Linked DNA regions of Bombyx mori. The main gene of each other region encodes a partner of the protein of the gene in region 2 in a complex. Links are inferred from orthologs where the notes say so. Each region holds a gene or a part of one and is shown on either strand. Other genes may lie near its edges.

Region 1 (4,360 bases), on a different chromosome or scaffold from region 2:
TTAAAAGGTGATGGTGTCGGAGTTACCCTATTTAAATATAAACATAATAATATGTTTTTATTTTACTTCACTTTAGATTATGCAATAATAGACAATTTGCCAAAAATGTTACTCACTCTGTAAAAGGAAGTTCTACAGTTGTCTCCTCCTCAATACCAAACAACAGCACTAAATAATGGTACCTTGTTTGACCCTGTTTGATCGGTGGATCCAAGGAAACGACAAAGAACATTTGCCTCGTATCCTTGTGAGGCAATAAGAATAAACGGAGAACTGTCGACATAGGGATCTTGTAGTCAAAGGTTTTACCGTGAAGCTGAAAGAATGTCTGGAATACCTTGATATCATAACGACCACTAAAAAAAAATTTAAAACAAATAAATTAATTTGATCGTTTTTCAGAACATTATTATTTTACATTCAATTGCAATTCACTGAATTTAATAATACTGCATTTTTATTTTTACTTTTCTACTCAATTCCGAAACATAAAAGGTACAAAATAGCCATACCAAGACTGAACTGGTTTGTTGTTGTAGACATATACAAATATTAATCTTATATTTCAAATTAGTGAAAATTACAAAAATATTTGGAAACCATACCGAGGTGTCAAACATTGTAGTTCTCTGAATATAGCAATAGCATCACCAGAAACTGAAATAACACTCGCTTTGTTCATTACTTGTTGGTGGAATGCTTCAACTGCATCCAAATCATTGGCCACTTCACTGGTGGGAATGTGGAAGCGCATTTCCATCAATGATACAGGTGTGTCATCATTCTGTAATTTTCAAATCAAAATATAAAGTATCTTATCATCACTATCCATTTGCTGGAAATTGTTCTCTACAAATATGCCTCTTAGACACAGACACAACAAATAACAGACATTTTTACTTTTGCAGATGTTTTATTTGAGTCAATCAATAGTTGCATGTTTGATATGATTATATTAGATATCTTACCCTTGTTAAGTACAACTTTAAGTTTTTTCGATATTTTTTTAGATATTTTCATGATAGCAGAACTAACCTGATGAAATTCGAGTGTGACTTCATTCTTTCCTGTATTGCATTGAGAGACATAATGCAATGGTATTTCAAAAGCGGTGTTTGTACCAACATTGAAACTTAGTACTGCTCCATTAAATTTAGCTGTACCCCAGTTCCAACCTTTTAGAGATAACTCTTTCTCTAGCATGTCTTTATTATAATTGGCTTTGAAGAATTTTGCAACCTTCTCTTGCTCCTGTAGTATTTCAATTATTTAATTAGATGATTCCAATCATAGAATCATAAAATCACTTCATTTGTTTAATTCATTTTCATTGTAGCAGTAGGCAGTGGCTTGGCTCTGCCCCTGGCATTGCTGAAGTCCATGGGCGACAGTAACCACTCACCATCAGGTGGGCCATATGTTCGTCTGCCTACAAGGGCAATAAAAAAAAAAACATTTAGCTAGAATTTATTAAGCTAGTTTTATTGTCATTTTTTAACTAACCCCCAGGACAAACCTGTTGTTTATAAGTAGATAACTTAATTTAAATTATAATTCTACATTAATAACTACTTAAGAGGTTATTTTTAAGAAAACATTTTAAATTCAGAACTCTTCCACAGAACACTGCAACAGAGTAATTCTTATTTCGTTATGAAATATATTTGACAAGCTTAATAAAAACTGAATAGAATAAATTTATTACACATACTTTTTTGTAATTTCTTCTATTTGTATCAGAGTGTATAGAATATGTGACCTAATAATTTTGAAAAAATATTTTCTTGTTTCTAAACAAATTTCAATTTTTAAAACACAGTTCCAATTATGTTTGATTTTAAAAACAACAGCCCTTCTGTTGTTCCCTTCTATTCCAACAATAAGTTTGAAATGGTACTTAGGCGGGATCGTTTTTGTTGATTATTTTAAAATGACTGGCAAATTATAACCCATATTCTTATGATTTCAAGTATGAAATGTTATGGTTTAGAACAAAAACCAGAACCTATTGTCGCATCTGTTATTTTGCATAATAAATGAGTTATCTATCGCAGGGACGTGTAAATTTTGTCAATTATGGAAAACTTATGTTGTATTTACTTACACCTTCTTTAAAACCTCCGTATCTGTGCAAAGTACCATTTTTGAGAAACAAACGTAAGCCCCACGAACCAATGAACTTCTGGAAATTCACCAGCTCAATGTCATTAGCTGATATTTGTTCAACTTTGCCGGTTTTACTATTCTTGAAAATTATGTTTTGGTCTGTCATTTTTAACCTCCCTGGTACCTGAAACGCCAAGCACTCTTAATATGATTCTCCATAATGTTTCTTAAAATGCTTTTCATAAAGCGTTAAGTTATAAATAAAAAGACATTCATTCTTCATCGACATACCATGTTTCCTTTTATTTCTGCGGAAACATCGTTATACTCTAAAAACTCCATGTTTCGTTATTTGACAATACTTTACAACGCGATGTAACAATGTAAAATTAGCGTATATTTCCTTAAGATTGAATAATAGTTTCAATGATTAATTAGTCACTGTGTTTTATAGTGTGTAACGAAAAACTTTTCATTTACTAGTTTTCAAGTTTAATTTTCAATTCACCCACTATAAGTTACGTTATTCATTAAAGTGTAATCTATGATAACATGTGTGTATCTATGATGTTAGGAGACTTTTTGGCGGGAGCGCGAGGAGTGAAGTTGTGTGATTTGTTTTATTTTGTCTATTTAGTGCTTCTTCAGGTTTAAATGTGTAATAACGGAGGTTTATTAACTGTTTAATATCTGTGAAAGTGCACAAATGTGGGAAAATGAAACAAAGCCGCTGGACGTCACTTCTCGGGATCCTCCAAAAAGTGCAATGAAAAAGTCTCAGTACATAGATGACCACCATTTTACTGAGATTATATTTCATCCGATATTCTCATCTCGTTTCATTTGATTTCATCCCAGTTGATTAATGTCTCAAATTAATCATCTTCATTTCATTTCATCATTTTTCATAAAAATAAGAAAATAAATTAAAATAAGACATGACTTAAAGGTCTTAGTTACCAGGTCATAAAATCCCTTAAAAAATCTATGATGTTAACTTAAATAATAGTTTAATCTATGTATAAGGAAATAAAAGGCTTTATGTTATTAAAATAATAATCACACATTGAGTTAAAGGATTCAGTATTTGTTGACTATTAAGTAACTTTTAACGACTCTCGCAACTGTAATAAGTAGAGATTGCAGGCTACTACCGTTATTTAAGTGTTATTCTATGATCTTATGAATATCTTAAATATGCCATTAAGTAATTCTACGTATTCTACTATCGTAGAGTTTTCATTCAATTTTACATTTTTCATATACAGTCAAACCTGGATAAGCGAGAGTTCAAGGGAGCACAATCTCATTCTCGCTTATAGAGGTTTCTCACTAACCCGAGTTTCTCGCTAATGCTCCCTCTGAATTTCGATTCGCGATTTTCCGCATTCAAATGCATTCACTATTTTAAGTTTATGACTTTAATGACAGTACTTTAATTTTCTGTTTTTACATGATGCAGAACAGAACTTTCCTTCGCAATTGATTAACGATAAACTGAGTAAGTCCGACAACACAGGCACACGTGTCCATTCGAAAATAATGCGATAAAAGAATACGATAAAATAACAACGTTATTTAGTTCCACGAAATAGAATAGGTTCAATATTCACGAGGAAACAATACAAAAACAATGATAGGAAGTTCCACGAAAGTTAAAAATGAGTCATAAAATAGCAGATGTTAAATTTGTAATTTGTTTTGTCATTTGTTCCGCCTAAATAATATAAATAAATAAATAAAGCTCGGCTGTCGCTTATAGAGGTATAGGATAGGTAGCAGTCTCACTTACGGAGGTCCATGAGGAAAAACGACTCTCTCTTACAGAGGTTTCTGTTTCTCGCTAATAGAGGTTTTGGGAGCTTAAAATGACGGGTCCTTGCTATTACTCTCACTTATAGAGTTTTCTTACTTATCCAGTTCTCACTTACCCAGGTTTGACTGTAATTAAAAAATTCCAGTTAAAATATAGATACATACATTTCTATGGTATCATACACATTTTTTTCCAACATAGATATATTATATGATGGTTGGTTGGTTGGATACTATCAGAACGGCTCGACAAAATACAACTTTGAAATGCAACAAGCTGTATTTTTGAAATTTTTTGTAATGGGAAACTTTTTGAAGCGAGCGCGATTATGCGATTCCTAACACATAAATTGATATCGTTTACGATACGTATCGCCCATTTCTACCAATGACTAAAAGATTTGATGTAGAGTAGAACGGATTGTTTGGCAGGAACACG
Region 2 (3,505 bases):
TACTCCTAAATTTAAGTCCTCTGACTCACAGACACCGACTGAGCTATCGCTAGAGTGGTTTTTCGGTAGATGAGAAAATTGGGGCGCTAAAAATAATTTATTCTCAAAGTGGGCAGTAGACAAAATAAGTTTGGAAACCCCTGTTTTAAATGGTAGCGATGCCTTCATTGTATTACCGTGTTGGAATGATGTCAATAATATCTTTGTTATCATTGTTTATTAACCAAATCAATATCTAAAATCTGTTACAGCATGGCAATTCTACCAAAAATCAGACAGCGCAAGTTCGCGGAAGCTATTCAGATTTTCTCTACTTCACCTACCAGCATTAATGTTGCTAATGCTAGTAAATAAGAAGTACTGGAGTTCGAGTGACACTCAAGAGCAGACCGACACCAAAATCCAGGACGTAGGCATATTAGACAAGAGAATTACAGTACTACCTCGAGGACCGGTCGTTGTGGCCCAAGGAAACGACAAACAGTGCTAATTATTTTACGTTATATGTAGGTAGATTTTATTTGCTGTACATAATGTACAAATGTGATCAATGTAGAAGATTGTAAGTTATCTATTACGAGATTTGAATTGTAACCTCAAAACAAGGTTTCGGAATTTCATTTAAATAACACAAAATTCCTGTATGTGTTACTGCTGTACATATATTTACTAGTAACTACTAACTGAATATTTCCTAATCTTAATTTTGGGGTTATAATACTTTTTTGTTATTTTATTTTTAATCGTGTTATTTATGATTTAAAAATAAATAAAATACACACAGATTATGAATTCTTATTTTTCTTATTCACTTTGCTTTTTTCGGGAAAAACAATATCGTGTGCTGTGTAAGTGGGGCACAGGTTCTTTATTTATTTAAATTTACTTAACTATTATCGTGTCACATTCTCAACTGAAAATTTATTAACAACATACATACAAAACACTCAGACCTGTTTTTTAACATTAGACGGACAAATTATGAGACGACACAATCACATACGTAATTATTATTAACAAGCCGCTGTGGCGAATGAAACCCGTTTGAATCCTTTGTATCAAAACGTTTGCTTTTTTATTTTCTGAAACAAGAATATTTTTTTTAATTATTAATGACATATTAAATAACGTGGTAGGGACATGCATTTCTGTTTTATAGAAAATTATTAGATAAATATTTCAGCTTTTGACTTTTTATCAAATAAGTCTGTTGTTTATTACTTTCAATTTATGCACGCAACCAAATTTATATAAAATATATCTGTTTTTAGAATACTCACTTCGCTTTCTTTGCGCTGTTGCCGTGTTCTCTGCTGTCATCGCGTGACCGTTTGTGTGATTTATGGTCACTAGAATGTTTCTTGTCTTTGTCTTTACTAGAGGACTTATGGTCACTCTTGTGGTGTCGATCATGGTGGGATGATTTGTGGTGCTTATCCCGGTTCTTGGAAGGGCTGAAATTAGGGCAATTATAAATATTATAATCTCTTCTCTTCTCTGTCGTTTCCTCATTGCTGAGGGTCGTGACCACCTTGGTCCAGTTTTTGCACCAGCTTCCTCCAATGCTACCTGCATTCGGCCTGCTTAATGGCCGAATAATTATTATAATAATCATTGAAAAATATTATACTTTTCACTTAATCTTAGTTACATTATGTTACTATCATTTTAGGGCTATCCTGTCAGTCAATACTGTACACTAAAATTTTCTCAACTTATTGCAACCCAGGCTGAGTTTCTGGGATTTACAGATCTGAATATTTTTCAGTGATGCTTTCATACGTAGTTTTCCTTTCTCATAATTATTTTTTCTAATTTAAACAATTCAGACATACCTGCTACTGTTCTTTGAAGGGCTTTTATGACTGGAGCTCTTATGGTTTGAGCTCGAACTTTTATGATTGGAACTAGAGCTTTTGTGGTTTGAACTAGAACTTTTATGATTAGACTTGTCATGTTTGCTTTTCTTGGCGGCTCCCTCATCAGAGTCGTACGAGCGTTGTTGGTTTCGTCCTTTACGTTTCCGGTCGAAGTCATCTCGATCGAAGTTGCGGTCTTTTTTATCCTCTTCGGCAGCTTCCCGCTCTAAATCTGACCAGTCTTTACCGGATTCTTCGTCTTCCTCTGCGAATCAAGTAATTAATATGTAACATTCGTACTTGTGGTAATGTCTAAAGCCAGTAAACCAACCAGTAAACCAGTAAATGTAAACGAATAAACTATTCGAACAAATAAACGAATAATTATTAATAGCACACTTATGATTTGCCAGAGATTATTAATAGAAACCATAAATATAACAAATTAAACAGCCTTTTTATTGACTTCGAAAATAAGATCATGGTAATCTCAATTTAGTCAAAGATATTGGTAATGTATGAATAACTGGCATCTAGCCGATTTTTTTTAATTTATTGACAATTAGTTATTCTCACCTTCACTATCACCCGAAGCGTCAGATTCATCAGACGCCTCAGAATCATAGTCAGACCCTTCAGATTCATCAGACTCAGCGTCCGTAGGCTCGTACGCTTCATCTTCATCTTCACTATCTTCCTCCTAAAATACAATTAGTTTTATCAGATTTGTTGTTTTGAATGGATCGAAACAATTCTGTCATTATCTACGCGAAATAATCTCATAGAAAATTAATTTCTAAAATTATATTACCTATATCTACTTTTAAGCTTCAAATAACTTTTCTTTAAAGTCCTTTGGGTTATATGTTAAATTATGTTTTGTTGTCCAATATCAGAAGTTATATATACTATGATTAAAAAAAAGTTTCTTAGATATTCACAAAAAGTGTGTATATTGTTACGTAAAATAATTTAAATTTTCTTAAATTTTTTAAATACTATTTTAAATAAATGAACAGAAAATCGTTTATAACGTTTTCTACTTTTCTGATATACAAACCTCTTGTTCATTTTCACCATCAGATTCTGGATCCAAAAATGACCAGCCACCATTTTCGAAGAAGCCCTCAATGTCATCTGTTATAGTTTTCATAACTTTGGTCCAGTTCAACGATTGTATACCCTCCGAGTACCGGATATCACAAGAACTGAAATATAGAAAAAACATTTCTTTTTCTATACATTCTCCTTAAAAATATTCATGACAGACTGCAACACGACCATGCTCTCCTGTGAATATTGCTAATTGTAACATCAATTTCTTGAATCGAAGTGGCCACTGCGTTGATCATACTATATAATAGGCTATTTACTACCATGATAATATATTTGATAAGCTATCGATTGCATTTTGAAGTTTATCAAAATCCTTCCAGTAGGTTTAGCATGAATGAGTAATACATATCCATCCTCACAACCTTTCCCATTTATAATATCTGTGTATACCTGTTTAAAACTTGACAATGAATTAGAAATAGTTGTTTACTTAACCAAACACATCATCTGTAAGCTATATTGTGGATTAGTTATCTATTCTTCACAGATTTTTCTTCTATCACAAATCTATTTCATTCTAAACTATATGT

What was found.
Region 1: FACT complex subunit spt16 (region 2) and FACT complex subunit Ssrp1 share a complex: the UniProt entries of both Drosophila melanogaster proteins name them as parts of the FACT complex. The link is inferred for Bombyx mori from reciprocal best matches to the Drosophila melanogaster genes dre4 and Ssrp.

The regions. Positions count from the first base shown.
Region 1 is NC_085114.1:11,975,767-11,980,126, forward strand, and holds the start of FACT complex subunit Ssrp1, read right to left. Parts: upstream 2,858-4,360; 5' UTR 2,449-2,857; coding exon 2,398-2,448; intron 2,291-2,397; coding exon 2,105-2,290; intron 1,252-2,104; coding exon 1,036-1,251; intron 785-1,035; coding exon 606-784; intron 357-605; coding exon 117-356; intron 1-116. UniProt on the Drosophila melanogaster protein: Component of the FACT complex, a general chromatin factor that acts to reorganize nucleosomes. The FACT complex is involved in multiple processes that require DNA as a template such as mRNA elongation, DNA replication and DNA repair.
Region 2 is NC_085116.1:13,778,435-13,781,939, reverse strand, and holds the end of FACT complex subunit spt16, read right to left. Parts: intron 3,068-3,505; coding exon 2,920-3,067; intron 2,560-2,919; coding exon 2,436-2,559; intron 2,125-2,435; coding exon 1,836-2,124; intron 1,455-1,835; coding exon 1,281-1,454; intron 1,083-1,280; coding exon 1,076-1,082; 3' UTR 786-1,075; downstream 1-785. Other genes in the region: protoheme IX farnesyltransferase, mitochondrial, read left to right, coding at 252-490. UniProt on the Drosophila melanogaster protein: Component of the FACT complex, a general chromatin factor that acts to reorganize nucleosomes. The FACT complex is involved in multiple processes that require DNA as a template such as mRNA elongation, DNA replication and DNA repair.